3 linked regions of the Arabidopsis thaliana genome follow. The protein of the gene in region 1 interacts with the protein of each later gene in a pairwise test. Each region holds a gene or a part of one and is shown in the gene's direction. Other genes may lie near its edges. The genes, in order: WRKY18, TRX3 and GUN5.

The links.
Region 2: the proteins of WRKY18 (region 1) and TRX3 interact in binary tests that used the Arabidopsis thaliana proteins (3 or more experiments, as listed by UniProt).
Region 3: the proteins of WRKY18 (region 1) and GUN5 interact in a two-hybrid assay, tested with the Arabidopsis thaliana proteins (one study listed by BioGRID).

Annotation. Positions count from the first base shown.
Region 1 is NC_003075.7:15,378,668-15,387,910, forward strand, and holds WRKY18 (WRKY DNA-binding protein 18), read left to right. Parts: upstream 1-4,109; 5' UTR 4,110-4,628; coding exon 4,629-4,697; intron 4,698-4,821; coding exon 4,822-4,884; intron 4,885-4,965; exon of another isoform or gene 4,966-5,148; coding exon 5,149-5,535; intron 5,536-5,627; coding exon 5,628-5,744; coding exon of another isoform or gene 5,745-5,825; exon of another isoform or gene 5,826-5,848; coding exon 5,849-6,145; 3' UTR 6,146-6,433; downstream 6,434-9,243. Other genes in the region: AT4G31805 (WRKY family transcription factor), read left to right, coding at 6,787-7,048, 7,229-7,650, 7,758-8,108; AT4G31810 (ATP-dependent caseinolytic (Clp) protease/crotonase family protein), read right to left, coding at 8,698-8,826, 8,933-8,974, 9,048-9,149, 9,230-9,243. UniProt on the Arabidopsis thaliana protein: Transcription factor. Interacts specifically with the W box (5'-(T)TGAC[CT]-3'), a frequently occurring elicitor-responsive cis-acting element. Positively modulates defense-related gene expression and disease resistance.
Region 2 is NC_003076.8:17,239,346-17,248,015, forward strand, and holds TRX3 (thioredoxin 3), read left to right. Parts: upstream 1-3,261; 5' UTR 3,262-3,426; coding exon 3,427-3,513; intron 3,514-4,005; coding exon 4,006-4,128; intron 4,129-4,226; coding exon 4,227-4,373; 3' UTR 4,374-4,860; downstream 4,861-8,670. Other genes in the region: COP8 (Proteasome component (PCI) domain protein), read right to left, coding at 362-422, 511-614, 885-1,036, 1,175-1,304; UBC18 (ubiquitin-conjugating enzyme 18), read right to left, coding at 4,861-4,956, 5,062-5,150, 5,868-5,931, 6,152-6,254, 6,342-6,445, 6,530-6,559; AT5G43000 (uncharacterized protein), read right to left, coding at 7,009-7,857. UniProt on the Arabidopsis thaliana protein: Thiol-disulfide oxidoreductase that possesses disulfide reductase and insulin disulfide bonds reducing activities.
Region 3 is NC_003076.8:4,384,792-4,397,186, reverse strand, and holds GUN5 (magnesium-chelatase subunit chlH, chloroplast, putative / Mg-protoporphyrin IX chelatase, putative (CHLH)), read left to right. Parts: upstream 1-4,757; 5' UTR 4,758-5,104; coding exon 5,105-6,509; intron 6,510-6,604; coding exon 6,605-6,687; intron 6,688-6,786; coding exon 6,787-8,589; intron 8,590-8,678; coding exon 8,679-9,155; coding exon of another isoform or gene 9,156-9,159; intron 9,160-9,242; coding exon 9,243-9,620; 3' UTR 9,621-9,880; downstream 9,881-12,395. Other genes in the region: PDAT (phospholipid:diacylglycerol acyltransferase), read right to left, coding at 1-457, 673-932, 1,012-1,330, 1,786-2,069, 2,165-2,387, 3,213-3,658; AT5G13620 (uncharacterized protein), read left to right, coding at 10,814-11,487, 11,571-11,802; AT5G13610 (sporulation RMD1-like protein, putative (DUF155)), read right to left, coding at 12,379-12,395.

The DNA of each region.
Region 1 (9,243 bases):
GTAGTGAATTTTGTATAAGCATAGTTATGGTGTGACTTCGAATTGGAAAGGTGGATATTGAAATATTCATTTGGCTATAGATTGAGGTGGATTTTGTATCAAAGCTTTGTTTCAGAGATAATTTTATTTTGGCTTGGTTTGGTTTGGTTTGAGGATTTGAAACCAAACTAGAGGTCGTTTCGGTTTGTTTTTGTTCGGTCTGGTTCTTGAGGGTTGATTACCCTTCAAAAGATCATTGTTTAGTTTATGATTGTCTCCTTAAACCACCACACGTCCAAAGATTGTATTTTATTATTGCCCCTAAGTTAGAACTGAGAAAACTTTGTAACGTTCAAATATAATGATGTTTATAGAAATGGAAACGTCGGGTTAATCAGAATTTCTATGAAGGAAACGTAAAATAAAAATCTAACACATGGAAATATCCGACTTAGTTTTAGATGAATCAAAATCCGAGTCTTACTTTTTTCAAAGCTGGGATAAAGCTCTGGTCCTAATTGAGACCACAATTTAAAAAATCATGACTTCTTTTTTAACAATAATTCCACTCAAAAGTCATTTAAAATTTTGACAAGTAAGCCTTTTAAGGAGGCTGATGAATGATAGATGATGCACAAACGATGACGTAGGATTATTTACGTAACGAGGCTGATGAATCATGAACGTAACGTAGTTCACCACCATTCAGAAAAGAGAACATACATAAGGAATAATATGTCTGGCTAAATTGTCGCATGACTTGAGCAACTAGTCTATAGTTTTTACTTTTACTTACAAACAAATCGATTTGGTCCATTTTCTATTAGTTCTTGAAATCTCTAACAGATAGATTATTCCGTTTGGTTTTAGCTTTTAAATAAGCTTGACTCATCATCAACTTAAGTCTTTCTTAAAGATACTGTATAAAATATATCGCTATATTAATTTTAAATGGTTAATGTATCGATTTGTTTCGTACACTAATTACCAAGCATTGTATTCATTTCTATTTTTGTCATAATCATTTTTTGATTATTTTTTTTTTTTTCTGCAATTATATTCTTTCGGCTGAAGTCTTATGTTTAGAAATTTTAAATTCACGTAAACATTTGACCTAAAACTATCATAACAGATTTAAATAATTATCCAAAATTTTATTTTAGTTAGAAATTGAACAAGTAAAGTTAGTAATTTAACCGGTTATATGAATAGTTTATGCACATACGAGTTCATGATTAAATTTGAAGAAAATAAAAATTAATTCTCCGATAGGAAGAGATATGCAAATGAGAAAACTAAATTATTCTTTAGTAAACCGCTCTTACAAACCGTATTTTCAGATTAACAAAAGAGACAAATATAAAAACGTATCATGATGATACTTTCAGATGCTGATCGTAATGACGTCATCGTATCGACGTCGTCATGTAGAATATCCGAGAGAGAGTTTTACACGACGACTTAAGAAAGATCTTTGGTCGTCTTTCTTATAAGGTCTTATGATAAGACTTATCACTCCACATAGGATCAATAAACTAAAAACACTTCCTGAAATATTTTTCCAACCATGTTATATTTGTTTAATTAACTTTTCCATGAGCCCTAACTCATTTCTTCACTAATTATATTATTGTTATTCATCTCTTGTTAACAATATCCAACTTGACCAATATATCTTTATTGTTCGTCAACTGTCATCGATCTATATCACTTTACGTATAGGATTAATGTGGCGTAAAAAGATAAAGAAGTTTGGTCCAAATTTCAATATCAAACTTCTAGTGATGAGAAATTTCTATTTGGTCTACATCGGGGAACAGATCATTCCACTTATGAATCCCCATTACTAATTTTCCATTCCTATTACAGACGTTTTACGTAGTAGGGAATCTAGTTTATTAATATACATATCACATAGATTAATCTTGATTGTTTCGCAAATTTTAATGGTTTTCGGAAACAAAAAGGGGGTACAAAGTGAGCTTTCCGAAATAGTGTAGTTCCCAGCATCCAAATCTCTCAAAATTCCTTCCACAATTAGAACGATTGTTCGTTCGTTCGTTTTCACAATGTATCTCGACCTCTTTTAGCAAGAGTTTGCTACTAAACTCGAACCAAGTGGAAACATGTGGGTTTTGCAATCTAAATTGAATTTGTTTTGTCAAAAAAGGTTCTTATATTTAGTACACTGTAAAAAATTTCGTTTCTAATAACATAAATACCTAGTATAGTGTAATGGTGTTCAGAGTTAGCATGCAAACTTGTGTTAGGAAAGGATATCAAAAGTCTCTTGTTTCAACAATTTTTATTTTATATTCAAAAATTATTATGATTTGATCTTTCAAGTTGATTCAATTCATGAAGATCACATAAAGCTTCTTCTCTGAAATGAATGTCACATGGAATAATTATGTATTGAAGAGCAAAAACCGCATATAGTAACCTAGCTTAAACCGAATATACCCGAAGTCAAGACTTTAATGAGAATCAGACTAAATCCTGAATTTATTTGAAAACAAATCATATGATTTGGTCTTCGGTCCGGTAAAAAAACTCAGATAAGTTTGAAAACAAGTTTTAATATTTATACTATATGATTCCGTCTTAATCAAAATTGTCAACTTACATCAATAAAATCAAAACTCATTTTAACTAGATTCTAAGAATCTCATCGAACAATCGATCTTTGTAAATCTTCATGGAATAGTGGTTAGCATTTGTATCATTGAGTTTGAAAGAAACGGAATAATTAAAGATGACACTAAATTCACAACTTTGAACAAACAAACAAAAAAAAGTGACAAGAAAAATAGAGGTCGGTGTCGGAGCCGCCCAAGGTGGCAACTTGTTCACACCTCATAATAAAAGCTTCTCACAAGTTGGAAGTCGCGGTCGAGTCCAGTCAAGATTTTGTTGCCCTTTTCCCGTGTGGGCTCACCACCCTCTTTGTCTTCTTCTCCCCAAAAATTTTCCACGTTTTTTGTTTCACTCTCTCAATTTATTTATATTTTTTTTGTCGGCTCATATTTAATTTGTGTTAATTAACACTTCCTTGATTAGAAAGTTTTTTTGTACCGACTTAAATTTATCATGCAATGTGATTGGTCGCTTTCCCAAAACAATCTCTCAACGACAAAAAAGTAGTAATTAGTAATTAAATACATTATATTTTGTTGTTAAATAGTACTCATTCTATTTCAAAATATAAAATATTTAAGTAAATATCACACGGTTAATGAATTTAAATATATAACTCAAGTATAGTACTAAAAAGAATACTTTAACAAACAAACAGAAACCTATTGTACAGTAAAATATCAATCAGTGAATTATTAATCAAATAGTAAGGGAAACTAGGATATAATAGAAAAAGAATTGCCGACCTACAAATCAGAGTCAATGGTCAAGCAAGTCAAGGGAAAGTTCGTAATTGTTATGGATCTGGAGTCTGGACAAATTAAAAAAAATTTGTTAAATAGAAGAGGATATAAAGGGAACACAGATCCTACATATTGAAATTTATGTATGACGTCCAAATTTTTCTTCAGCATGGGACACTGCCCCGCCGAAATTATTGATTTTTCGGATCTTTCTTCTACTTGCTTCTTTTTTGTTTGCTTTTATAAGTTTTGCATAGCTAATTCTTAATTTCTTATCATTTATTTCTAGTTGGTAGAGACTTATAAATTGAACGTTTCAAGTCTTTGGACGGTATTTGAGATTTCTTGTAATTTCACTTGTAATTGTACCACCTAACAGTGACTAAAGCAGAATAAATTACGATTCGTATACAACAAAGTATTCAAATTTCTAAATGTGGATATATTATTGATTTTATTTTGGGAAACATGTTTATGATAATCACCTATATCTCCTCTATAGTCTACTAGAAACGATATTTGTCACCTTCATCGTACAAGACTATAATGTATAATTCTATCCATAATGAACGATCTAGTTTTTAACATGTACTATAGAGATGAATGATTACGACAGTAAATTTAACCCATGCATACGAAAATACATACCGATAGATATAACACAATTCAGAATGTTTTACACAATCCCATATTTTTAGCCAATCAGTGTGATTTTAATAGACAGCTTTCTATGTCTTGTTGTGCTTTTTCTTCTTCTTTTTTTCCCAAAGTCTTTAATGTCTTCTGGACTTTATAGAAGACAGCTTTTTATATGTTATCTTCACTTTCGAACGACTTTCCTTCCTAACATATCCCAAAACCTATCTCTTTAATTTATTCCTATCGTACTTACAGCTTTTATTAAAAAAACTTTCTTATTTTAATCACTAAACAATTAATAAAACATTTATTTATGATTTTTCATTTTCGTTAAAGCTCTTTTATTAAAAACTTAATCACAACAAATTTATTAATCTTAAATTTGACCTTAGGATAAAATTTATATATTAATCTTATATCTGTTATACATTAAATAAACTTTAATTTCTGCGCAACAAACTAATTTATTATTTATTTCTTGTCTCTGTCTTTGTAGTTTTAGTATAAATAAAGCCATTTTGCTCCGAGGAACTTCTCATTCAGTCGGACCAACTTGTGACCGAAGAAAGCAAATTGAGACTACGCACCAACTAGTCCTTTGGTTTGTATCTTAAGATAAAGGTTTCTTTTATGGACGGTTCTTCGTTTCTCGACATCTCTCTCGATCTCAACACCAATCCTTTCTCCGCAAAACTTCCGGTAAGTCCGGATTTCGTCTGATCCATTTTCCCGAAATCTAAGTTGATTTTTGTATCCCTTCAATTTCTATGAACTGGGATTTTGGGAATTAATCATGGGTTCATTTCAAATTTTCGTATTTCAGAAGAAGGAGGTCTCAGTTTTGGCTTCTACTCACTTAAAGAGGAAATGGTTGGAGCAAGACGAGGTTAGTTCTTTCGTCGAACACTTGGTGTGCACTACCTTCGACTTCATATACTTGTTCGAACATTCAGCTTTTATCAATTCTTTAACTTCACTTTAGTACTTTACGAATCAATTAAGATGGGTCTGAGTTTGAATGTCTTTGCATCGAAATGAATCGGTGATGATGTAGTTAGTATAAAGTCTGAAACTTTACATAATCAATCTTGTTTGGAACAAAAAGGAAGAATCTTTTTAGTAATTTGATCTTTGTGGTGGTAATGAACAGAGCGCAAGTGAGTTACGAGAGGAGCTAAACAGAGTTAATTCAGAGAACAAGAAGCTAACAGAGATGTTAGCTAGAGTCTGTGAGAGCTACAACGAACTACATAATCATTTGGAGAAGCTTCAGAGTCGCCAGAGCCCTGAAATCGAGCAGACCGATATACCGATAAAGAAAAGAAAACAAGACCCGGATGAGTTCTTAGGCTTTCCTATTGGACTCAGTAGTGGAAAAACTGAGAACAGCTCCAGCAACGAAGATCATCATCATCATCATCAGCAACATGAGCAGAAAAATCAGCTTCTTTCATGTAAAAGACCAGTCACTGATAGCTTCAACAAAGCAAAAGTTTCGACTGTCTACGTGCCTACTGAAACATCGGACACAAGCTTGGTAAGGGATTTTGTCTGTGAATCTTTTGATTAAAGAGTCATATGTTTGAAATTGCATAGAGACAAATGACTAAGCAGAGTGTAACTCTGCAGACAGTTAAAGATGGATTTCAATGGAGGAAATACGGACAAAAGGTTACAAGAGACAACCCGTCACCTAGAGCTTACTTTAGATGCTCGTTTGCACCGTCTTGTCCAGTAAAAAAGAAGGTAATTTACACACATCGAGTTTATTGTATTTATAGCTTCATTTGTAATTGTTTATCTCTGCTTGCTTCTTCAGTTGTCTAATGATCTGTGGTATTACTGTTCAGGTACAACGCAGCGCAGAGGATCCATCTTTACTTGTAGCGACATACGAAGGGACGCATAACCACTTGGGTCCAAATGCTTCTGAAGGGGATGCTACAAGCCAGGGTGGGTCAAGCACAGTGACTTTGGATCTGGTTAATGGCTGTCATAGACTAGCGTTGGAGAAAAACGAAAGGGATAATACGATGCAAGAGGTTCTGATTCAACAAATGGCGTCATCGTTAACAAAAGATTCGAAATTTACAGCTGCTCTTGCTGCTGCTATATCTGGGAGGTTAATGGAGCAATCTAGAACATGAACGTTTTTAGTGAATGTATTGTTTTTGTTTGTTTAGAATGATTCTTCGTTTTCGAATTGTGTCTTTCGATTAGGAGATAAAAGATGTATATAAATATTATAAGTAGATGAAGAAATCGTATAAGTATTCGAGAAACTTTAAATGTACGAATTCTATATAACCAGTTAGATGTCGTCTGAATACTGTATATGAAAATTTTGAAATAAATGATGTGGTTAAAAAAGGGTCACCATAAATATTCAATCACAATAGTCTCTTTCATTTATTGGAAATTTGGAGTCATTTGAGAAAGAAATAAGAATTGGACATCACTAAATAGTATCTTAAGTATTCTTTAATAATGTGTTACACAAGTAAATTATGTATTAAGTTGGTAATACAATGATCGGAAAAAGAAGCGCAAAAATTCAAATGAGAAAAATCAAAGTTTCCCTCCATAAACTCACTCTGCAAGTCTCGTGATTCTCATTTATTTCCTCTCCCCATCTGTTCATAGCTCTCTGTTACGACTCCGTCCCACCATTATCAATGTCTATCCGATCTTGGTCCCTCCTACGAAGCCTTCTTCCTTTTAAATCTCGTCTCTTGTTCCAAACCCAAAAACCCATGATTATTCGTTTTCTGTCTTCTCTTGGTTTTCAATGGAAGGCTCGCGGCGGAGGAGGGGAGATGGGTGCACTATCGTGCAGTGTTATACTCCTAGGAGATTCGTGGGCCGGTGGCTTTCGGGGTTGAGAAGTTCCAAGGGGAAGAGAGATGCAGGGGAGGAACAAGAAGATGACACCAGAAGGTATCAATTAGCGCCTATAAGGTGTTCGACGAGTTTAAATCAGCTGGTAATGCAGGACAATAAGCAGAACTGCCGCCTGAATAAGAGTAAAGAGCCGGAGACTAATACATTTGGTGAGAATCTTGTGTTTTTCTTTTTCATACACTTTTAATTCTCTGGAAATAGCCTAATGATCATTGAACGGTAAGATTGTCTTTAGAATTTGAAGGAGTTCCCTTTTTCTCTTATAGGTAAACAAGACTTGTCTTTGGTGGGTTATGTTTATAGACTTATACTTAGTTTTCTTTGTGCAGAGTCACAAAGCAGAGAGTCACCTTTGGAAGTGGGAATTGGTTCTTTTTTGCTCTATCTTGTTGTTGCAAGTAAAACCGAGCTTGATAAGATGACAAACCTGCGAATGCAAATGGAGATGTTTCTTCTTAATGCAAAAGAACAACTACAGAAGAAGGATACACCTATGTCTTCAAATGAAGCAAGCGGTTTCCAGTTTTCTCCTCAAGAATTCTCGAATTTGGCGTCATCCATTTTCCAAGAGTCATCATCGAGTGTTCTTCAAGAGGAGTACACCGAATTCGAGGTCTCAGAGCCAGAGGATTATCGTCGAGGAACAGACTGCAACTCAAAACTCCAGGCTGAGGTAGGTAGGTTACCTCTGGGTGAAAAAGCAGAGGATAGACAAACAAAGCATCAGATTCAGAGACAATGCAAACTTAAAGTACTTCAAAGAAAACCCTTTTATCTTCTTAAGTTGGGTTTCAACTGTTTAAGCAATTATGAAACAGGCTCTTGATTCTCAGACTTGTGGTTCTTTTGTGTTTGTAGGACAATGAGGTCACAAAGAGTCATATACCAGAGATGGTGGTGTCAGATGAAAGATATGGAGTGTGTCCGTACGAACTAGACAAAAAGCTGCATGAACTACTGGAGACAAGGCAACAAGAAGAGTTAGTGAAGCTTGAGACTGCTCTGAATCGTGTTGAACGCAGACTACAAGAGAAAGAAACCGAGGTTTCATGGTGGAAAGACGCAGCCCGCCTGCTTGCCCAGCGTGTTCCTGAATCTTCTCGGTCTGGACTAGAATGGTGCAACCCAGACTCTTCCACATGTTCAGAGCGATCTGTTCCAAGATCTTATGAAGCATGTTCGATACACCGCACCAGTTTTTCTAGATGAAAAAATCCTTAAGTGGAAGAGGAAGAGTTTAGATTTGCTGTTACAGTGTTTGCCTGAAGAGTTCTTAAGCATTTGTGTGAAGTTTACTTTTAGTTAAACTAGTAGCCACTACCCCTGTTTGGTGCAATGTTATACATACCACCTGAAAATCACTATCCACGGTAAGAATTGCACTGTACTGAATCCAATCAAGCTTATTTATTGCTGAAGAGAAGTGTTTGAACATTTTTTTATCTCAATCCATTAAGTGGAAGAGCCTAGATTTGCTGTTACAGTGTTTGTCTGAACTCTGAAGATCTTTTGTGTGAAGTTTACTTTTTTGTTAAACTAGTTGCCACTGTAACTGTTTGGAATTGCACTGTATCTTTATCCAATCAAACTTCTTCTGAATTCTACACTTTGGCCTTTCAACATTATAATGGAATCCTCTCACAGAAAACGAAGAAACTACAGGATAGTTAAAAACTTGACACTCCCTAATGAAGAAAAACAGAGTTTGACAGGATAATGTCATTGCAGAGATCTCATTTGCGCATAGATCGGTGGAATTCTTTATTGCAAGTAATGAGTGTCATCAGTAGGTTTTTCCTCAAAAATAAGGCTCTCGTTGAGCTGTTGGCAGCTTCAACTCAGAATCTGAATCATCGAGCTCTGAGGCTGGCGTGAAGTAGCAATCCACCATGTCTTTGCTCACATCTTCTAGGCGTGGAGGATCCCACTGCAAATATTAACAAACCACGAATTAGAACGTAAAACCTGGAACATGAACATAAGCTAAAGGAGTTGCAAACGTCTAATTTTGAGGCTGATATGTTTGTATGCACCTTTGGAGCAAAGTCTTTATCTACCAAACGGGCTCGAATACCCTATCAACAGAAAACAACTTCAATATGTGCAAAAAAATGATGCTTTAATTGACAAATTAGTGAAATATTTTACCTCGCAAAAGTCGCCAGAGACTACTTTTGAGACTCCACAAATGGATATACGGTATTCATGTGTGAGACATTGATCAAGGGTTTGGAATCTACCTTCTCGTATCTGAGAAGAGAAGAAACCGCCAGAGTCAGAAAAATGAAATCCTTTTTGAGAAAGGAGAAGAAGAAACTAAAAGGACTTACAGATTGCAAAGTAA
Region 2 (8,670 bases), on another chromosome or scaffold:
ATAAATAAAAAAGTGATGTAGTGAAGCAGAATAATGCTCTTAACAGTCGATATTCCTAATTTCATGACACTTAGATTTGGTCAAGAGACTTAACTTTAAATAAAATCTCTCTAGAAAAATGTCCAAATATTTGAAGATTGAATCAACATTCAACAACGGGTTTCTTTTGTGCTTTTAAGATCTAACTTCTGTAACTGATTGACACGCACCCACAGAAGGAAACAAGACAAACTAGCTATAAATCATTACTGCGATGCGTAAATTCATCTCATAAACAGAGATAACCGATTTACATGCTTAAAAATTAATGAAAAGGACACAGAATCTATTGTGCATATGTACATGAAAGGGAAAGACAAACCTCGAGATACAAACGAGCAATTTGGATACACTTTGAAAGCTTGAAGTTGTCGTCAACGGCCCTAATAAAGAATTCCGCAAATCCAAAATAAGCAACACAAAAGAACATAGAGAGGAAACTAAAACAAAATTCTGCTCAATGCCACACACCTCATTCCAGAATCCAGATCAATTCCACTCAACATCTGTGCTGCTTTTGACCATTCCTGCTCTGATTCATACAAACCCGCAAGTTTTTCTCTGATAACAAGTGCCTGCAAATACACCACAAACAGTTTCATCTCTTAGAATAAAGAGATTGAAAAACAACACAACGTACATTGTCTCAGTTATCCCAAAATACAGCATCCTTAGTAAACAAATATCTCAAATTAGCTTTCAGTGTAGATTTCACATACCAAAGCGGTACAATAGCAAAGCGACTCTACATACCTCTCAACTTATGTTAAGTAGGTAAACTAATTAGGGTTTAAAAAGTACACGATTGCTGCTAAACAGTAAGGTATCACGAAGAGAAAACAAACCTGTTCCTCAAAGGAAACAACTCTAGGCTGAATCTGGGTAAGAGTAAATTGAGCAATCTCCTTCTGCGTCTCCGGTTCTAATCTCCCAAGCTCTTGTGCGAAAGACTGCAAAAGCTGCCTCGAAACCACCAACGGGACATCATCGGAAAGAACTGGAAAAATTGTGAGGAAGCAAAAATCAAAATCAAACCAGAAATTCTGATATAAACCGAATTCCATAAGAACAAAAAGCAGTTGTCGAATCTCTTATGAAGTTGAAACCATGAGAAAGAAGGGAGATGCGAAATTACTGTGATCGATGAATCTCTGAGCTTGGAGAAGATCGTTGGAAGAGAGAACAGAGGAGAGGATGAGTTTGTACTGTTCGATTTTCTGGCGTTGGTCACCGATTGCAGAAGCGTTCGTCAAAGCTTCATCCATGGCTTCTCTTCTGAGATTTTCTCTCCCGCTTCGATTGAAACCCTAAGAAACCTTACAAGGTTTTGATTTCTCTCTCGCTTTTTTTTTTTTTTTTTTTGGAGTTTGCTCTCTTTTTATATTAAAAAAATAAACGGGGACTAGATTCTGTGCCGGTGATCGGAGAGGCGCTTTACAAAATTTACTTAATATGGTCACAACTCATATGAGATTAGTACCCAAAATAAATTAAAATATATATATATATATATTAAGCATAAATACTATATTTTTTTTTGTTAGTTCATAAATTTTATAATTAATTTGTGATGGTAAGTTTACCAAATTGATTGTAGATTAAAAAAAAAAATCAACAAATAATATATTGTTTAGAAATATTTTTATATGTGAGCCTAAATTACTACAGTAAATCTTTTACACAAATAAAAAAACACGTCGTGATTTGGAAAACACGATGATGAGGTATTTTATGATGACAATACCACGTTTAATATTATGATACCAGATCGGAAAAAGATGATATGTTATGTGTTTTAGAGCTTAGGGAGCAATTTAAGATGGAAACGTAAATAATTATTTGTTGAGAAAGAATCGACTAGAAGCAATCGAAAAATTGATCGAATGGTCAAGATATGACCGAGAAGTCATCGGAAAAGTTGTGAGCCCAAATCTTGAGAGCAATGACATGCAAAATGTTTTGAAAGTGCTCTCATGAATTAAAAGTGAAAAAAGAACCACTCTCTCGTTACATAGAGGGTAGTATATAAAGAAATTTACCTATCTCAGACTAGGAAACCAAGTCTCGCATTGGAATACGACTTTGGTTTAAACATGTGAGCTGACTGACAAATCGATTTTATGTGCTTTACAACTTAGATATAACTGAACATATTGGTATTGGATGAGGTTGGACGATAGACTCATAGACACAATCGTTGTCTCGAAAAATCACGAGTTTCTCTCGCTTAAAGGATTTTTTTTGATGAAGTTTATGGTGATCCCGTTCGAGAACATCACAATTGTTTTTGAATCAACTTTACAGATCCATATTGTAACTAATGATTATAGACTACATAGTTTACCAAAATTACATTTACTCAAAAGAACAGATGCGGTTGTTGATGGCAAAACTTTTTTGGAATGGTAGACATCCCATTGAAAGAAAACAAATTGCCATGGTATGGAATTCATGATAATGATTTAACTCGTTATAGTCTGGACAAATTGTCATGGTAGGGTTTCATTGCTCTTTCTTTGGGTAGTTACCTCAAGATATCTCTTTGTTCTTCCTTGTGATAGTTCCACCTTGATATGTACAACCCCACATTAATCTGCTCATTTCAACATTAATTTTCTCTATTGTTTTTAAATTGTGTGTATAAGATTATTTCACTAACTAGGAAAACAATCCATTTCTTTGACACATGGGCTTTACTTAAACAAAAGCCCAATAACTTGTGTTTAGAAGTCACATGATCAAATCTCAAGACCTATTATAAATTAACAAATTTCATATTGATAAATTTTAAAAGATTTCCTATTACAATATTTAAAGTTGCTACAAATTATAGATTCTTTTGATCTTTTCTGATATTGTTTCTCAAATAAAATATAGGAATACCAAATTACAATATGAAAGTTGCTTCAAATTATAGATTCTTTTCTGATTTTGTTTCTCAAATAAAATATAGGACTGAACTACCAAAGGCAATAATATTCAATGTGACCAACAAAAAAAAAATAAAAAATAAAAAGAAATACTCAAATCTCATAACCTTTTTGACTAAATATATCAATTTCTTCTATTTTCAATGAGCATAAATTACACGCGTCCTCAGAAGCTGAATCCGATTTGCAATTCTTCAATCTCAACCGTTAGATCAACAAATCCGGCATCGAATTCCTCCGCGTGGTTTGGTCCATTTTTTTAATTTGAGTATTAATTCTTTTCCTATTTGACAACATGTTTTATTAATTATTATTATTATTCCATTTGCATTAAAATATAATAAAAAGATGTAAGATTCTCTCCGCCTCCTTCTCTCTATAAGAACCGACACAGAGACGAAGAAGAATAATCACTCGAAAACTCATCAAATCAAAAATCAAACACAGAGAAGAGAAAATGGCCGCAGAAGGAGAAGTTATCGCTTGCCACACCGTTGAAGATTGGACCGAGAAGCTCAAAGCCGCCAACGAATCCAAGAAACTGGTAAAAACTCTCGATCTAAGGTTTTAAATGTTTCTTTCTGATTGATTTCGCTGCTTTATCGTTTCTGATCTTGGTCCTTTTGATTAGAATATGACGGATTCAGAATTAGGTTTGAATTGTCCCCAATCGAATTTTTGAGCTCCTTAATGTCAAATTTATGAACCCTAATAGTTTAATTGATTGTTTAGGAACCCAGAATCTCAGAAATTGAAACCCTAAGAACTTGATAGAAGCATCATTGGATAAAAACATGTTATGTGAATCTCTCAACTATGCATATTCAATTTTATGAATCATCTGCTAGAGATCACATGAAAATTGTCTTTAGTGAACCCATTTTGTATCTATGTTTGTATTATTATCCATGTTCTGTGAAGCACATGAAATGCATACATTTGTTATCTTAATGATGAACCGATGTCGTATCTATTGTTTGAATTATCGATCGGTGTAGCTTGTTTTCTTAAATATGGTTGTGTGGAAATGACACAGATTGTGATAGACTTCACTGCAACATGGTGCCCACCTTGCCGTTTCATTGCACCCGTCTTTGCTGACTTAGCCAAGAAGCACCTCGACGTAGTCTTCTTCAAGGTCGATGTTGACGAATTGAACGTGAGTTTCCTTCATCAATCTTACACTATCCCAATATCCAAACTTAGGGATTTTTGACTTCTCTGAGCCTTTATCTTGCTTGTTATGTTGTTGTGCAGACTGTTGCTGAGGAGTTTAAAGTTCAGGCAATGCCAACGTTTATCTTCATGAAAGAAGGAGAGATCAAGGAGACTGTGGTTGGTGCTGCTAAAGAAGAAATCATTGCCAATCTCGAGAAGCACAAGACAGTTGTTGCTGCTGCTTGATTTGCTTTTCTCTCTTACCTATTTTGCTAAAATATGTTTGGTGTTTTAATAAATCCTTTGTTCGCCCGAGTCTTTTCACCTTAAATGTGCTCTTATGTGTGGTGGTGAATAAATGTTGTTGCAAACTTGATTACTCGCAGCTATGCTAATTGTTCGTTCATGGTTATGTTTACTCTTTGGGGATTCTATTGTTATGTTAGTTTTTCAATTTTCAATTACATTACACCAACTAGTTATCAATCCAATTACATTGCCAAATACAATTTCGTTTTGCCTAAACTCTCCATGGTTTTTCACTTCAGAAAGGACAAAAGCACAAGGTGTTAATTCAGACACTGAAACATTTCAGATGTCATTTATACATAATGATCCGTTACAGAAAAAAAAGTGGGAGGCCATGAGGAATTTCAATTAGTATTATCAGTCTTGGGAAATTATATAAACCTCTTTTGTAACTGAAAGGAGAGACATCTTACGGTCGTCATCATTAAACCTTGTCGTCATGGAACCACCACCTTGTCTCTTTAGGAGACCTCCCGTTCTTGCAGTTCTTCACATATCGATCGTTATCAGTCGGGCGTTGCTGATATTGTCATCGACAATAAGACATAGTAAGAGTTGTGTGGCAGGGTCAAAAAGTTTGAATTTGTGACAACAATACAAAGTGTGAGAGATCAAATGTAGAAACCTTTTCGGGGGAACTTGATAGCATTGAGAGGATGCTGATGCAGACTGAACTCACTGTCATTGCTGGAGACCATGAGTCATACAGAATATCTACAAAAAGGAATTAGAGAGTGTGTTATATTAAGCGCATAATCCTAATGGACTTTCTCCTAAAATGAGGCCGGGTATAATCGTGATTATGTATTGTAACAAATGGTTCAGTTCCACCACGATTTCATTAGACCGGATTTAGATGCATTGAGAACAGATTTAAGAAATTTACATAAAACTTTCATGTTCTTATTGTTTAGTGAAAACAGCAAAACTAAAATGTGTTATTTGATTTTAACTCAAATGGGAGTTTCAAGTTATTTGATCAACATTCCAAAGGGAGTTTCAATATAACTAGAAATTGAGAGGCTGTTATAATCATGGATCAGATTCTGATTTTGCTAAAGAATTCACCATAGAGTCCAAAAGGGACGGTATTGGTTTTCTTTATGGCGTTGATAACACATTCACACCTAATTTCATGTCATGCGACGCTAGTATTAGGAACTCTTTAAGAATGAGACAGACTGAGAAAAAGGTTAAGACTGGTAACAATGTTGATATAATATATTAGGACTCTTAAGGGTATTGTTACTAACATTGCTTCTCTTTTCGCTACATTACATTCCGTGAACAAGAACAACCTATATATGTAAGTATCAAACAGATAAACTAATTTGATTGACACACACATGACTTGAGCTAGCATTTCAGAGAAACCAAAAAGTAAGAGCAAATGCAAAGAGTAAGTAGTGTAGAAACAATGAGTAAAATTACCTAAACAAATATGTCCATTGCTGTAAATATGAGGATGTAACGGTGCTGGTGGAACAAAAATCACCTGATCAAAAACCAAACACATGAAAATCAGAACACAGCACAAAACCAAGTAGAGAAAATGTCACTATATCTCAAACTAATTCTCTGACCTAAAACATGCAATACAACCATAAAAACACTCTGGTTTCAGTTAATTAATCCACAATTAAGAAATTTGAAATAAACCCTTAATCAAAAACAACAAATTTTTCAGAACAAAACCAACACAATGAAAAACTTGCCTGAGGAGCTTCCATAGGATAATGTTGAGGAAACTCAACCTGAAGATTATAAGTTTCATTAGCGTAAAGCGTACCAGGTGCTCCTGTTACCTCAATTACCCATCTTTAAATCACACAAAAACAAAAAAAACAATCAAAAATCGAAATGATAAATAATCAAAAAAAGGAAAGATTTTGAAATGAAAATTACTTTTGAAGATTATCAGTAACTCTGTGCTTAAACCCAGTCGGTGGATTTACTTGCCACTCTGATAACTCCTTTTGTAACCTATTACACGCGATCTTGCTTAACGCCTACACAAATCTCAAAAATTCAAAAAATCACAATCGGAGAATCAAAAAACACATAAGAAGACAAGAGTGAGAGAATCTAAGAACCTTGCGTGAAGGAGATGAAGAGCTTGTCATGGCGGAGACAAAGAGAGAGAGAGAGAGAGACGAAGACAGAGAGGTCTTGCTTAAGCTTTTGTCTGGATCTTTCTTCTTCTACTCGAATATTATTATTATTGAAAATGAAATCAAAAAGTGTAAACAAAAGGAAATAAAAATATTTTTCGGGGTGAGGAAAGGGCACACGTGAAAGAGTCAAAATTACAAAATTAACCATTTTCATCGGACGGCTATTAATCTTCCTTCGTGTTCACACGTGTCGTTTATCCTTCACTGACTCCACGGGACATTGAAGAGTCGATTTTATTTATAGATTTTTTTTTGTAACAAAGATTCTCTTACATTGTAGCTACCAAAGTCGTACGATCATAAGTACATAAGTTTTTAAGACAAAGTACATTACATTAAACATACGTCTCCATCTATATAATGTTTCAGCTTTCATTCTATAGTAGGCTTCTAATAGTTTATGGGTCATCATTTGGCCCAACATGAATAGCCACTTCTTGCTCTAGCTCAATACCATCTAGTGGGTCTTGAAGAGGCTCAACGTGAACTACCGTTTCTTGTTGTAGGTCAATACCATCTAATGGACATTGATGAGGTGCAATAATACAATCTTGTGACTCTTGATCTAGCACAATATCATCTTGAAGGTTTTGGTCTTTTCCATCTGATGGGTCATTAAGAGCCCCGATACAGTTTTGTGACTCTTGGTCCGGTCCAAGAACCCGATTGGTTTCTTGTGGGACGAGTTCTTGCTCTAGCTCAATACCATCTAGTGGCTCTTGAAGAGGCTCAACATGAACAACCATTCCTTGTTCAAGCTCAATACCATTTAATGGACCATTAAGAGGCTCAATAGAATTTCCAGACTCTTGATCCGGTCCAAGAACTCGATAGGCTTCTTGTGGGACGAGTTCGAGTCCGGCTGCGAAAAGCGGGAGCAAGACTAGATAATGTTTATGAGAAACGTAAGAGATCGTGGAACCGATGACGTGGACAATGCATAACATCAAAAGATATGCGTTTAATGTGTGCCAATAGAGGCTCCCATCGTTTGTGTAAAGCCAAAACACTCGGCCGCATCTTTGTATTTTCACTTCTTCCTCGATCAAACTTTGGATAAGATCGAGCAAAGTGAAGATTAATGTGTCGCAAGCACATACGATACCGAATATTTTGGCTAGATCTTTCTCCTTGTCGAGTAATTCTAAGACGAAGCAAAGAAACTCAACGAGGAATGCAATAGCAGAATGTGGTCGTAGACTTTGCCTAAAAACAACGAGTTTAATGACGGGAGTTAGGATCGCCATTTTCAAAATTATTACTATGTGATTAGAAAGCTCAAAATATACTATGGTATGAGGAGCTTTGAGTGAAGAACTTCGTACGGGGTGCTTTTTATAAAGACATGAAGTGGTTATTAATGAATGATTAGGGAGACAAAAGTCAAAAGTTAAGCTTGGAAAATTCCGTGCTAATCATAAAGATCTTCACTTTTCATTGCATAGGGAATCAAATAAACGTTTTAATATTTTTATGTTTGAGATCATTGCAAGTAAACTCTAGAGTAATAGATCAACTCTCTAATCATTTTAAGTGTATGATACAACGAATCCTAGCTGTTTGATGATTTACGACGTTCATGATTTCGGCATGTTAATTTTCTTTTTGAAAAAGTTGTCCTAGCTAATTTAATCCTAATCTTATTTTTATTTTTTTACGGTAATTCTATTCTTATTGCGCTAGAAAAAAATCGAAAATATCATTACTTAATTAATTTTATGTTTTTATAATAAAGGTACATCATGAGTGAGACAATTTTTTTTCCTAAAGTTAGTATATATAAAAGTTTGCAAATTGTTTTTATTTATAAAATATTTATATTTTATAGTTTACAATTGTTATTAAGTAAGATACCGTCAAACACGTCCCACTCAAAAATTATTTTATTAATGTTGATCTTATTTATGATATGATTTTGAATCATCCCCTAAACATGTTAGCTTTTTTTTTTCTTTTTCTTGTCATCAGATTTAAACATTTTAGCTTAAATCCATATATTTTTCGTTTATCAATTAATATATGTCCGTTTTCAAAATTTCGAATCACAATATATGTAGAAA
Region 3 (12,395 bases), on another chromosome or scaffold:
CCATTCAAATATGCCAGAGTGGACCTGGTCATGTCCTATATCAGACCCGTTACCTCCGGCGGCAACCCTCATGATATCTTCGATCAAAGCAAAGTTTCCCATGATATCAACATGGGCACCACTCTGCGTCCCGCGCCCTTCCAACAGGTTAGCCGGCGGAGAGTGATTGTATTCTCTTATATAAGTCTTGATTCCGGAAGGGTTGAATCTTGTCTTGCCACGCCACGCTTTTGCACACATGTACCCGGCACTTAGGACGGGTACTGTTTCATCCCCATCCACATTGTAAACTCCTGCTTTCAGACAGCTATCTTCGTCCTCCTCGTGAGCAGAAGTGAATATCTGAAAGGGGATGCAACTGTCGGGAGACTGGTTAAGCTTGTATACGTATGCTCGTTCCGTTGGTATCCCCACTCCGTATAATGAGTAGATTTCCATCTCAGGAGCATTCGGTAATCTGAAAAAGCAGAACAAACCAAACGGAGGATTTATAAGCAAGAGTCACATGTATCAACTTTAGCACCTCAATATTACTGAGCAAGCCTTTTTGAGAAAGGCTCAGAAACAGCTTTGTAAGCTTTGAGCTGAAAACCATATCCAACAAGACCGAAAACAAAAAGACTGATAATGCATCAGGACGAAGGATACAGTTGGAATCAAGAAATCACTTACTTTGTCTCTAACGGATTTGACCAGTATTTGGGATCTTGATACTTGGTGTCATCCAAATCATCAGCAATTCCATAAGAGAAATGAGCGGCACCACGCGCCATCATCTTAGGAGCAACATAATGTAGTAGATCTATAGCTTCACCAGCAGTGTAGACCTTATACTCAGCGATAGCTTTGATCCCAGCAATTCCCATGTCATGGTACTCTGTCCACACGTCACGACAGGTGTGATTTGGGATACTCTGACCTTTGACAGCACCCTTCACCAGATAAAATGTACAGATATTCATCATACAATCACAAAATGTACAAGGTTTATTATGATTTATATGTCCTTACTCGAAAATCAATATTATTAATCTCAGATGGCGCAGCCTCTGCTACTTCTTTCCCAAAAGATATCATCCTTCCATAGTTAACAGGACTTTTCTTGGAAACTCCGTTTTCACCTGCTTCACCACAAGTTTCGTTGTTCTTTTGCTTTTTCCCACAACAGGTGTGGCCTTTCTCCGGTGACCAATCAAGCCCGCCCCATATCGTGTCACCTCCCTTCGGTAACATAGACATTGTTGAGTCCCATGTGCGTGTCATTCTCATTACATGCTGCAAGGTCTGAAGTCTAAATATATCGGTGTCTAAGAATCCTGGGGCAATCGCTCTGCAATTTTCGAAGAAAGTAAAGTTCTATATTAAGGAACCAAGTGACTAATAGAGCAACTAATCCAACGAGTCTTTAATTAAGAAGAAATAAAAGACCATAGATGCATATACAAGAAAATTGAAAGAAGCAGAATAACGCTAATTGGTAAAGAATGCAAGCATGGAAGCTCCAGCGCTTTCCATAGCAAAATTCAATGCCCTCCAAAAGACAGTATGACAAATGTTATCGTCGAAGCTAAGAAACTGGTCATCACAGAGCAATGCGTAAGAATTATCAATTCATCATTTGTCTAATCTCAAGAGAGTTTCAGTTACATAAGCAGCAAAAATAATCAACCAATGTCAGTTGCAGCGATAATATAGCAATGTTATTAGAATTGATATTTAGTAGAATAACTTTGAGTTCCAGAGCCAAGGTTCTGATCATCAAAAGTATAAGCAGATATTCAATACCTGGCAACTGCAACATCCTTTGCTTCAGCAGAGAAAAGCCCTGCAACAGCTTTTGGAACACCAAGAAATGGTCCACCAATGTTCATCACCGCCTTAATATACTTTGCACACCAATCTGGCCCACCCCCGCCACCCAGAGGAGCTGGTGCCTCAACCCACTTCATAAAATGTAGAAAATACAAGACCCCCATGGAATGCGGAACTATAACTGCTTTTTTTCCACCGTTGGTAGAAACCATCAACTCTATATTACTTTTCATACGGCTAAGAGTCTGATCACGTACCTATTAATTCAACATGAAACATATTTAAGCCTTAAGTAATGAAGAAAGAAACGTAACATGGAACAGAATAATAGAAAGAACGATGAGAAAAGAACCTCTGTGTTCTGAAACGAAAGCCGCCAGTCATATGCAGCCATGTACATATTTTTCTCTTCATATCCAATATGTGCAAGGTTAGCAATCAGCACTGCCCAGACAAAGTAGCCAGGAGCAAAGTAGTCAGCAGCCACGAGTCCTGATACAGCTCGAACTCTAATACCAGCTGGATCCAACCCAGTTTCATTGTCAAGTGACATGTGTTCCACCCAACATAGAGGCCTGAATCAAAGAGATAATTGATTAGTTAAGATACTATCAACTATACCACTGTTACCATCAACAATAACATTGCCCATCTCTACCATAGCAAAAACATGAACACTGAGCCGAAAGAAGAAGATGCAGATCGTAACAAAGATGCAACCCACAAAACACTTTTTTTTTAATATATCCATAGCAGGGTCGGGAGGAGTTCAAAGCTGGATAACAGAACGAGGATGGACGAAATTCAAGACATGTGAATAAACTCGATGTGAAACTTTGAAATTGAGAAAAAAATTGAGAAAAGCACATTGAGCTGAAAGATCAAAAAGGAACTAGCTTTAATTACACATATACATAGTTGAATAATAAAGCAACAGTCCTCTATCACAGCCTGAACACACTTTCCACAGATGTAGTTAGAACTTCTCTATTCCCAACAAAACATAAAACACTACTTCATTATACGCTACACAAAGCTAAATCTACACGCAACGACAGTAAAGGAAGTAACTTGTTATGAACGGACTCTAGGGCATGTCTAGCAACAGATTTGGCAATAAGATGACTTGAAATTCCAAGGCAGCTATTTTATATCCTAAAGTTAACAATCAAACAGAAATAGTCCAAGCCAATTACGTCCTTGGAACGCTTACCTTACACATACAGAAATAGTCTCTTAAGAAAATAGCGTTTCACATCAAAAAAAAAAAAAAGTAAAGAGTAAGACAGACAAACATGGAATTAAAGTTTGAGTGATGTTGAAGAAGCAACAAGTGCGTGATCTCATCAGATCCAATCCAAATCCCAATATAAAGGAAGAGTGAGAATTGTTGAGCTCACCTTTTGTAGACTTCACCAAAAGTTCCACCCCACAAACGTTTTCTAAATAAACCATCAGCGCATTGTTTGCCTTCCCAAAGCTCGAGCCCACCGGTGACAATCCCAGGAATGAAGACAACAGGATGTTTCGCCTTAAGACCTTCTTTTTTGAGCTTAACACCGGGCGGGTCAGGCAAAGGACCCGTGATTCGCTCCGTTACATACTGAGGGAAGCTCGCAGGCATTGCGTTGTAAAGGAAGAGAAGAAACCACCAGGTTACACACACACACCCAATGAACCAACAACAAGAATCGATGCACGACCACTTCCCTCCTCCGTTCGATTTCTTATGGTGGGATTTGGAAGATTCGTGTGGTTTCTTTTGCGAATCCTCATCGTGCACCACCTCTTCAGATGGCGGCGTCGATGGTTTCTCCGTCGGCTTTTTCCGATGAATAAGGGGCATATCTGTCACTTGAAATTAAACCAGGTTAAGCTATACGGACTTTGTCAAATCTCGTCCAGGAATTTAGAACACAGATTAGGGATTGTTAGATCAGTCGAGAGAGACAAAGAGCTGTTTCTCTGCGAATTTCTGGAACCAATCAAATCAAATTTGTCTCTTTTGTTTATTGTCGACTTTTCTGTTTTTTTCTGTTCTGGTATTATTCCTCCAAGGGACTCGGACCGGATGGCAAAACTTGACCACTTTGCTCCTGGTTCAGGTTGCGGTTCATGGTCAACCTTAGACCCGACCTATCCGTTTCGTTGATTTCATTAATTAGTCTGCGTTTTCTTGGGTGGAGTGCAGACAGATTTTCTTCTGCAGTAGGCGTTAATCCGATAGGCTCTTGTTGGGCCTCAAATAGTTCAGTAAACTTTTCGTGGGGCTTTTAGTATAGCCCATGTATTAATAACAATATTACACTTGGGAAATGACAAAAAAAAAAAAGAGAATGAAGCGGTACTCTTATATCAAAAAAACATATTGTATATCTTCGAATATGATGCAACTCATGCAACAACAATACTAGTAGGCTACATGTATTGCTCCATTTAATTACATATAACTTAATATTCTAATTCATAAACTTTCTTTTAATTATATATTTTATGTAAGTTTTAAATATTGAAAAAAAAAAAAGTTTTAAATATTGAAACATGATAAGTTTTTACATCCATTTATTATAAAAAAAATAGTGATGATGATGATCAAAATTTTGAGTACATTTTAGAGTGTTTTAACTTTTACATTTGTTGTTACAATTGTTATGAGTCTGATATTTCAAATTTCGTTTTCAAAGAAAAATCCTGAGTTTACCTTAAAAGATTAAAGCCAGTTTTTAAGAAATAAGTAGAAAAATATCAAACCAGACCTAGCTGAACCAAAAATTATACAAAATCTAGACCGGATTAAACCGGCTACCCGACGAATATGCCTAGTAAAAGTGTCGTCATCGGAAAAGAATCTTTTACATGGCTGAAACCGCAAATACGATCTTCAAGAGAGCAACATAAAAATACTTGTCAAATAAGTAAAGAAAATAAGACACTCAATATCCACACTCCCAAACCATGAAAATATGAATAGAAATCTCAATGAGCCAATCAGAGGCCAGCAAAGTCCATCTCATTGTCCCAAGCGGATATACATCCGACAAAACTCAACCTCACAAGTAGACTCTCCCTTCTTCCGTAACTATTCGTCCACGTGTCCTTCCCTCTCACCACTTACCTTCAAAACCAACGCTTCTTTTTTAGTTCCTTGGTCCGAAGCGTTTACCGATGAGAGAATCATAAACTCCCACTTGGAGCTCAAAAAGTGTAAGAGACAACCAACAAAAAACGATTCATCTCTTCTCCTATCCTCTCCTCTTCGAATTCAACGTTTGGAGAATCCAGCAGCCGCAAAATGGCTTCGCTTGTGTATTCTCCATTCACTCTATCCACTTCTAAAGCAGAGCATCTCTCTTCGCTCACTAACAGTACCAAACATTCTTTCCTCCGGAAGAAACACAGATCAACCAAACCAGCCAAATCTTTCTTCAAGGTGAAATCTGCTGTATCTGGAAACGGCCTCTTCACACAGACGAACCCGGAGGTCCGTCGTATAGTTCCGATCAAGAGAGACAACGTTCCGACGGTGAAAATCGTCTACGTCGTCCTCGAGGCTCAGTACCAGTCTTCTCTCAGTGAAGCCGTGCAATCTCTCAACAAGACTTCGAGATTCGCATCCTACGAAGTGGTTGGATACTTGGTCGAGGAGCTTAGAGACAAGAACACTTACAACAACTTCTGCGAAGACCTTAAAGACGCCAACATCTTCATTGGTTCTCTGATCTTCGTCGAGGAATTGGCGATTAAAGTTAAGGATGCGGTGGAGAAGGAGAGAGACAGGATGGACGCAGTTCTTGTCTTCCCTTCAATGCCTGAGGTAATGAGACTGAACAAGCTTGGATCTTTTAGTATGTCTCAATTGGGTCAGTCAAAGTCTCCGTTTTTCCAACTCTTCAAGAGGAAGAAACAAGGCTCTGCTGGTTTTGCCGATAGTATGTTGAAGCTTGTTAGGACTTTGCCTAAGGTTTTGAAGTACTTACCTAGTGACAAGGCTCAAGATGCTCGTCTCTACATCTTGAGTTTACAGTTTTGGCTTGGAGGCTCTCCTGATAATCTTCAGAATTTTGTTAAGATGATTTCTGGATCTTATGTTCCGGCTTTGAAAGGTGTCAAAATCGAGTATTCGGATCCGGTTTTGTTCTTGGATACTGGAATTTGGCATCCACTTGCTCCAACCATGTACGATGATGTGAAGGAGTACTGGAACTGGTATGACACTAGAAGGGACACCAATGACTCACTCAAGAGGAAAGATGCAACGGTTGTCGGTTTAGTCTTGCAGAGGAGTCACATTGTGACTGGTGATGATAGTCACTATGTGGCTGTTATCATGGAGCTTGAGGCTAGAGGTGCTAAGGTCGTTCCTATATTCGCAGGAGGGTTGGATTTCTCTGGTCCAGTAGAGAAATATTTCGTAGACCCGGTGTCGAAACAGCCCATCGTAAACTCTGCTGTCTCCTTGACTGGTTTTGCTCTTGTTGGTGGACCTGCAAGGCAGGATCATCCCAGGGCTATCGAAGCCCTGAAAAAGCTCGATGTTCCTTACCTTGTGGCAGTACCACTGGTGTTCCAGACGACAGAGGAATGGCTAAACAGCACACTTGGTCTGCATCCCATCCAGGTGGCTCTGCAGGTTGCCCTCCCTGAGCTTGATGGAGCGATGGAGCCAATCGTTTTCGCTGGTCGTGACCCTAGAACAGGTTAGTCCACTTATGACCATATTGCATTTTTCATGATTGTCATTACGCAAGAGTGGGAATGTTTTCTTATGGAGGTGGTTTACCAATTGCTGCAGGGAAGTCACATGCTCTCCACAAGAGAGTGGAGCAACTCTGCATCAGAGCGATTCGATGGGGTGAGCTCAAAAGAAAAACTAAGGTATTGTATTACCACTCATCCTTAGTGAAATCACATTCCTTCATGACTTTCTCAAGAATGTAATGTATGTTCTCATGAATCAACTCTGGCTCATTGCAGGCAGAGAAGAAGCTGGCAATCACTGTTTTCAGTTTCCCACCTGATAAAGGTAATGTAGGGACTGCAGCTTACCTCAATGTGTTTGCTTCCATCTTCTCGGTGTTAAGAGACCTCAAGAGAGATGGCTACAATGTTGAAGGCCTTCCTGAGAATGCAGAGACTCTTATTGAAGAAATCATTCATGACAAGGAGGCTCAGTTCAGCAGCCCTAACCTCAATGTAGCTTACAAAATGGGAGTCCGTGAGTACCAAGACCTCACTCCTTATGCAAATGCCCTGGAAGAAAACTGGGGGAAACCTCCGGGGAACCTTAACTCAGATGGAGAGAACCTTCTTGTCTATGGAAAAGCGTACGGTAATGTTTTCATCGGAGTGCAACCAACATTTGGGTATGAAGGTGATCCCATGAGGCTGCTTTTCTCCAAGTCAGCAAGTCCTCATCACGGTTTTGCTGCTTACTACTCTTATGTAGAAAAGATCTTCAAAGCTGATGCTGTTCTTCATTTTGGAACACATGGTTCTCTCGAGTTTATGCCCGGGAAGCAAGTGGGAATGAGTGATGCTTGTTTTCCCGACAGTCTTATCGGGAACATTCCCAATGTCTACTATTATGCAGCTAACAATCCCTCTGAAGCTACCATTGCAAAGAGGAGAAGTTATGCCAACACCATCAGTTATTTGACTCCTCCAGCTGAGAATGCTGGTCTATACAAAGGGCTGAAGCAGTTGAGTGAGCTGATATCGTCCTATCAGTCTCTGAAGGACACGGGGAGAGGTCCACAGATCGTCAGTTCCATCATCAGCACAGCTAAGCAATGTAATCTTGATAAGGATGTGGATCTTCCAGATGAAGGCTTGGAGTTGTCACCTAAAGACAGAGATTCTGTGGTTGGGAAAGTTTATTCCAAGATTATGGAGATTGAATCAAGGCTTTTGCCGTGCGGGCTTCACGTCATTGGAGAGCCTCCATCCGCCATGGAAGCTGTGGCCACACTGGTCAACATTGCTGCTCTAGATCGTCCGGAGGATGAGATTTCAGCTCTTCCTTCTATATTAGCTGAGTGTGTTGGAAGGGAGATAGAGGATGTTTACAGAGGAAGCGACAAGGGTATCTTGAGCGATGTAGAGCTTCTCAAAGAGATCACTGATGCCTCACGTGGCGCTGTTTCCGCCTTTGTGGAAAAAACAACAAATAGCAAAGGACAGGTGGTGGATGTGTCTGACAAGCTTACCTCGCTTCTTGGGTTTGGAATCAATGAGCCATGGGTTGAGTATTTGTCCAACACCAAGTTCTACAGGGCGAACAGAGATAAGCTCAGAACAGTGTTTGGTTTCCTTGGAGAGTGCCTGAAGTTGGTGGTCATGGACAACGAACTAGGGAGTCTAATGCAAGCTTTGGAAGGCAAGTACGTCGAGCCTGGCCCCGGAGGTGATCCCATCAGAAACCCAAAGGTCTTACCAACCGGTAAAAACATCCATGCCTTAGATCCTCAGGCTATTCCCACAACAGCAGCAATGGCAAGTGCCAAGATTGTGGTTGAGAGGTTGGTAGAGAGACAGAAGCTCGAAAACGAAGGGAAATATCCCGAGACAATCGCGCTTGTTCTTTGGGGAACTGACAACATCAAAACATATGGGGAGTCTCTTGGGCAGGTTCTTTGGATGATTGGTGTGAGACCAATTGCTGATACTTTTGGAAGAGTGAACCGTGTCGAGCCTGTGAGCTTAGAAGAACTAGGAAGGCCGAGGATCGATGTAGTTGTTAACTGCTCAGGGGTCTTCCGTGATCTCTTTATCAACCAGGTAACCAGATAAAAGCTTTCTCTCTTCTTTCATTTAGATTCTTGTTGGTTGGTCTCTCATGGTGTTTCTTCCTTGAATTATCTTGACAGATGAACCTTCTTGACCGAGCTATCAAGATGGTGGCGGAGCTAGATGAGCCTGTAGAGCAAAATTTTGTAAGGAAACACGCGTTGGAACAAGCAGAGGCGCTTGGCATTGATATTAGAGAGGCAGCGACAAGAGTTTTCTCAAACGCTTCAGGGTCATACTCAGCCAACATCAGTCTTGCTGTTGAAAACTCGTCATGGAACGATGAGAAACAGCTTCAGGACATGTACTTGAGCCGCAAATCGTTTGCGTTTGATAGTGATGCTCCTGGAGCAGGAATGGCTGAGAAGAAGCAGGTCTTTGAGATGGCTCTTAGCACTGCAGAAGTCACCTTCCAGAACCTGGATTCTTCAGAGATTTCTTTGACTGATGTGAGCCACTACTTCGATTCTGACCCTACAAATCTAGTTCAGAGTTTGAGGAAGGATAAGAAGAAACCAAGCTCTTACATTGCTGACACTACAACTGCAAACGCGCAGGTGAGTGAATTTTCTTTGTAGTTCATATATGGGATCAGTTTTACCTTGCAAGAACACATTCCTTAAGGTATTTGTTGAATCTGGCAGGTGAGGACACTATCTGAGACAGTGAGGCTGGACGCAAGAACAAAGCTGCTGAATCCAAAGTGGTACGAAGGAATGATGTCAAGTGGATATGAAGGAGTTCGTGAGATAGAGAAGAGACTGTCCAACACTGTGGGATGGAGTGCAACGTCAGGTCAAGTAGACAATTGGGTCTACGAGGAGGCCAACTCAACTTTCATCCAAGACGAGGAGATGCTGAACCGTCTCATGAACACCAATCCCAACTCCTTCAGGAAAATGCTTCAGACTTTCTTGGAGGCCAATGGTCGTGGCTACTGGGACACTTCCGCTGAAAACATAGAGAAGCTCAAGGAATTGTACTCGCAGGTGGAAGACAAGATCGAAGGGATCGATCGATAAACAATGGGATATAAGCCTTTCTTCTTGTAAATGAACTTAAAACTTTATTTTTGTGTATTACAGTATTCTACCAAACGACATCATCTCTCTGTGAATAAGAGAATGTTTTGGCTGACATTTTCTGACTTTATATGAATGTTGTGGAGCTTCTTCTTTCATCTCCATTTCTTATATCATATTCATATGTGTGGATTTTATATGCGAAGAAAATGAAACTATAGTTAAGTGTAAACAAACTATGGTTGAGTCATGCTTTTGCGCCAAGAAAGGACAATTTGTCTTTATGTGAATTCAAAGTGGAGCGTTTTGGAGAAGCACTAGATCTAAGGTGTTCTCACATGTATATATAAGATGAAGCTATGCTGTGAACGTGGCAAAGGGAAATGAGCAAGAGAGAGATACAATGTAGAAAGCAAGCAAGAGAGAGAGATAGCCATTAAAAAGGTGTAATCTTTGGTTTTTCTCTTGAGAGTGTAACAGAGAAGAGATCTCAAGTGTGAGACTCTTTCTCTGTGGAATTCCCTCTTGTAACTTGCTTATTCTAGTGGATTCCGAGATGTGACTCGGCCCAGACTTTAGCATAAATATTATGTGTGTTCTCTCTTCCTTTCTCACCTTTCTCCTATCAAAGTCTCTGTTCTTTTCTCTGCATATATTATGTTTCATTTCCATGTGTTGGACTCTGTTTTGCATCAAACTACTTCAGTCTTGGTTTGCTAAGGTTTAAGCTCAAGAAAGTCAATAAGTCTTTGAGCCTCTGAAACCAAACAATATGGAACAAAACATCCTTGGAAAAGTTTATTTAAATGACATAGAGAAGAAATTGCTTGGCCATATATGAATAGACCATATAGTATAAATAAAATGCTGTACAACTGGACTCCAAGAAACAATACATAGGAATGTTTAAAACTAGTATCAAGAAGACAGAAAATAAAATAATATGGAAACATGAAAATAGCTAAATATAAGACAGAGTATAAATAGGAATGGATAGGACAATTCAAGAAAAAATAAGAATAGACATTGGTTCATGAATAATTGGGTCTCTTTATAAAGAAAACAATGTCTGTCCAGATTTACATATTCAACATTTCAGTAAATTCCTTTTAATCACTCTTACTTATATCTATCTTTTCATCACTTATCAGTATCACCAGATAATCTCATACCTGCGTTGCAAAGACTAACTAATGGCTTCATCTTCATCTGCAGTAGCCGTGACGCGAGACGAGTTCAATGCTTTCCACAAGTGTGACAGAGCCCTTTTCCGCCGTTTTGTCGTGCGACTAAGGCGAGACATTAATCAGTCTCTCCAGGTCATGAGCTTTCTCCTCTATCTCGAGAAAAGTGGTCTTGTAAGCAACCTAATCGTCAACTTTAATTCTTTACCTGATTTCTTCATCAACACAGTGGCTGACGAAGTTGTTATGTGTCTGAGTTGTTTGTCCTACGAAAATTTCTCTATGTTTGTTGCCAACTTTGGGAAAAAAATCATACCTTTGATCACGCGGATGACTGGAGAGTACCTTACTCTCGCAGTCATCCACCAGAACCGTGAAAGCATTCTTCTTGACATGAAGAAGCATTTAACCAGTATATGTTACCCAGCTTTTGAGGATATATGCGTGCAAGCTGAGAAGGAAAAGGTGATAGAGGATATGAAGCACTTGGGGTTTAGCAAGGCTGTTCATAAAGCTGGATCAAGTAGCCAGTTCTTAAGTGAACAACAAGCAACAACAAGAACAAGCAAGGTTGGTGTATTCTCTGAGGATGAGCAAGCAAGGGAAGACGACAGGACTGTCTTCCTCACATTTTCTAGAGGATACCCGCTTTCTGAAGCTGAAGTGCATGCCTACTTCACCAGGTACTACTAAAACCTTTATATATAAGGCATGCATATACATAGTAGTGGAGTGTTTAAATGGTGTGTGTGTTTGGGTGTTGAAGGAGATTTGGAGAGATTATAGAAGCGATAATCATGCCTGGAGGGGAAGGGAATGAGCAGGCGCTGTATGCAAAGATGGTGTTACATTCTGCAGCCATGATACCGGAGATTGTAAGTGATGGGATCGAAAGGAACAAGTACACCATTAATGGAAAACATGTTTGGGCTCGAAAATACATTCCCAGATCCTCCATTAATAATAATCTTGCCCCATCCTATGGAGTTGCTCTCTAGTTTTTATTGTATCATACTTCTTGTTTGAACTTGAGGAGTTGTGTGTACCTTTATCATTTCTTTTTGGAACTTTATTTGGTGGTATTCGATATTATTGTATGTTGTTGTGTGGATGACTTCTATTTTGCATGGACTTTTTTTTTCGTCACCTTCGAGTACATCTTTCATTTTATTTACCCTTCTTCTCTTTCTTTATGCAATGACTCCTTATTTTACTTGGTGTATATAAGTTTTCATTAGAAAACATTTCTCAATCCTTATTCTCATAGTTCAAAACCTCATTTTGCTTCGTAATTTCACTTTTATTAATATAACAACACTACATTGAAATTGAAATTAAAAGAAGGCTTGCACCTGTGAAATAAATGATTTTATATGCATAACCAAGTCTTGTTGGACTGAAAAGAAGCAGGCTCTTAAATGCAAAGAGAATCTGTAACAAACGTAGTCCTAACTCCTAAACTCATTCTTATTTATGAGCTTTGTTATAAAGTTATCACTTTGCATTGTGAAGAAAAGTGGTAACCATAATAAAGAATATGAATATGCTTTAGAAATGGCAGAGGATGATCTCGATCACAAGGATGCCCGAG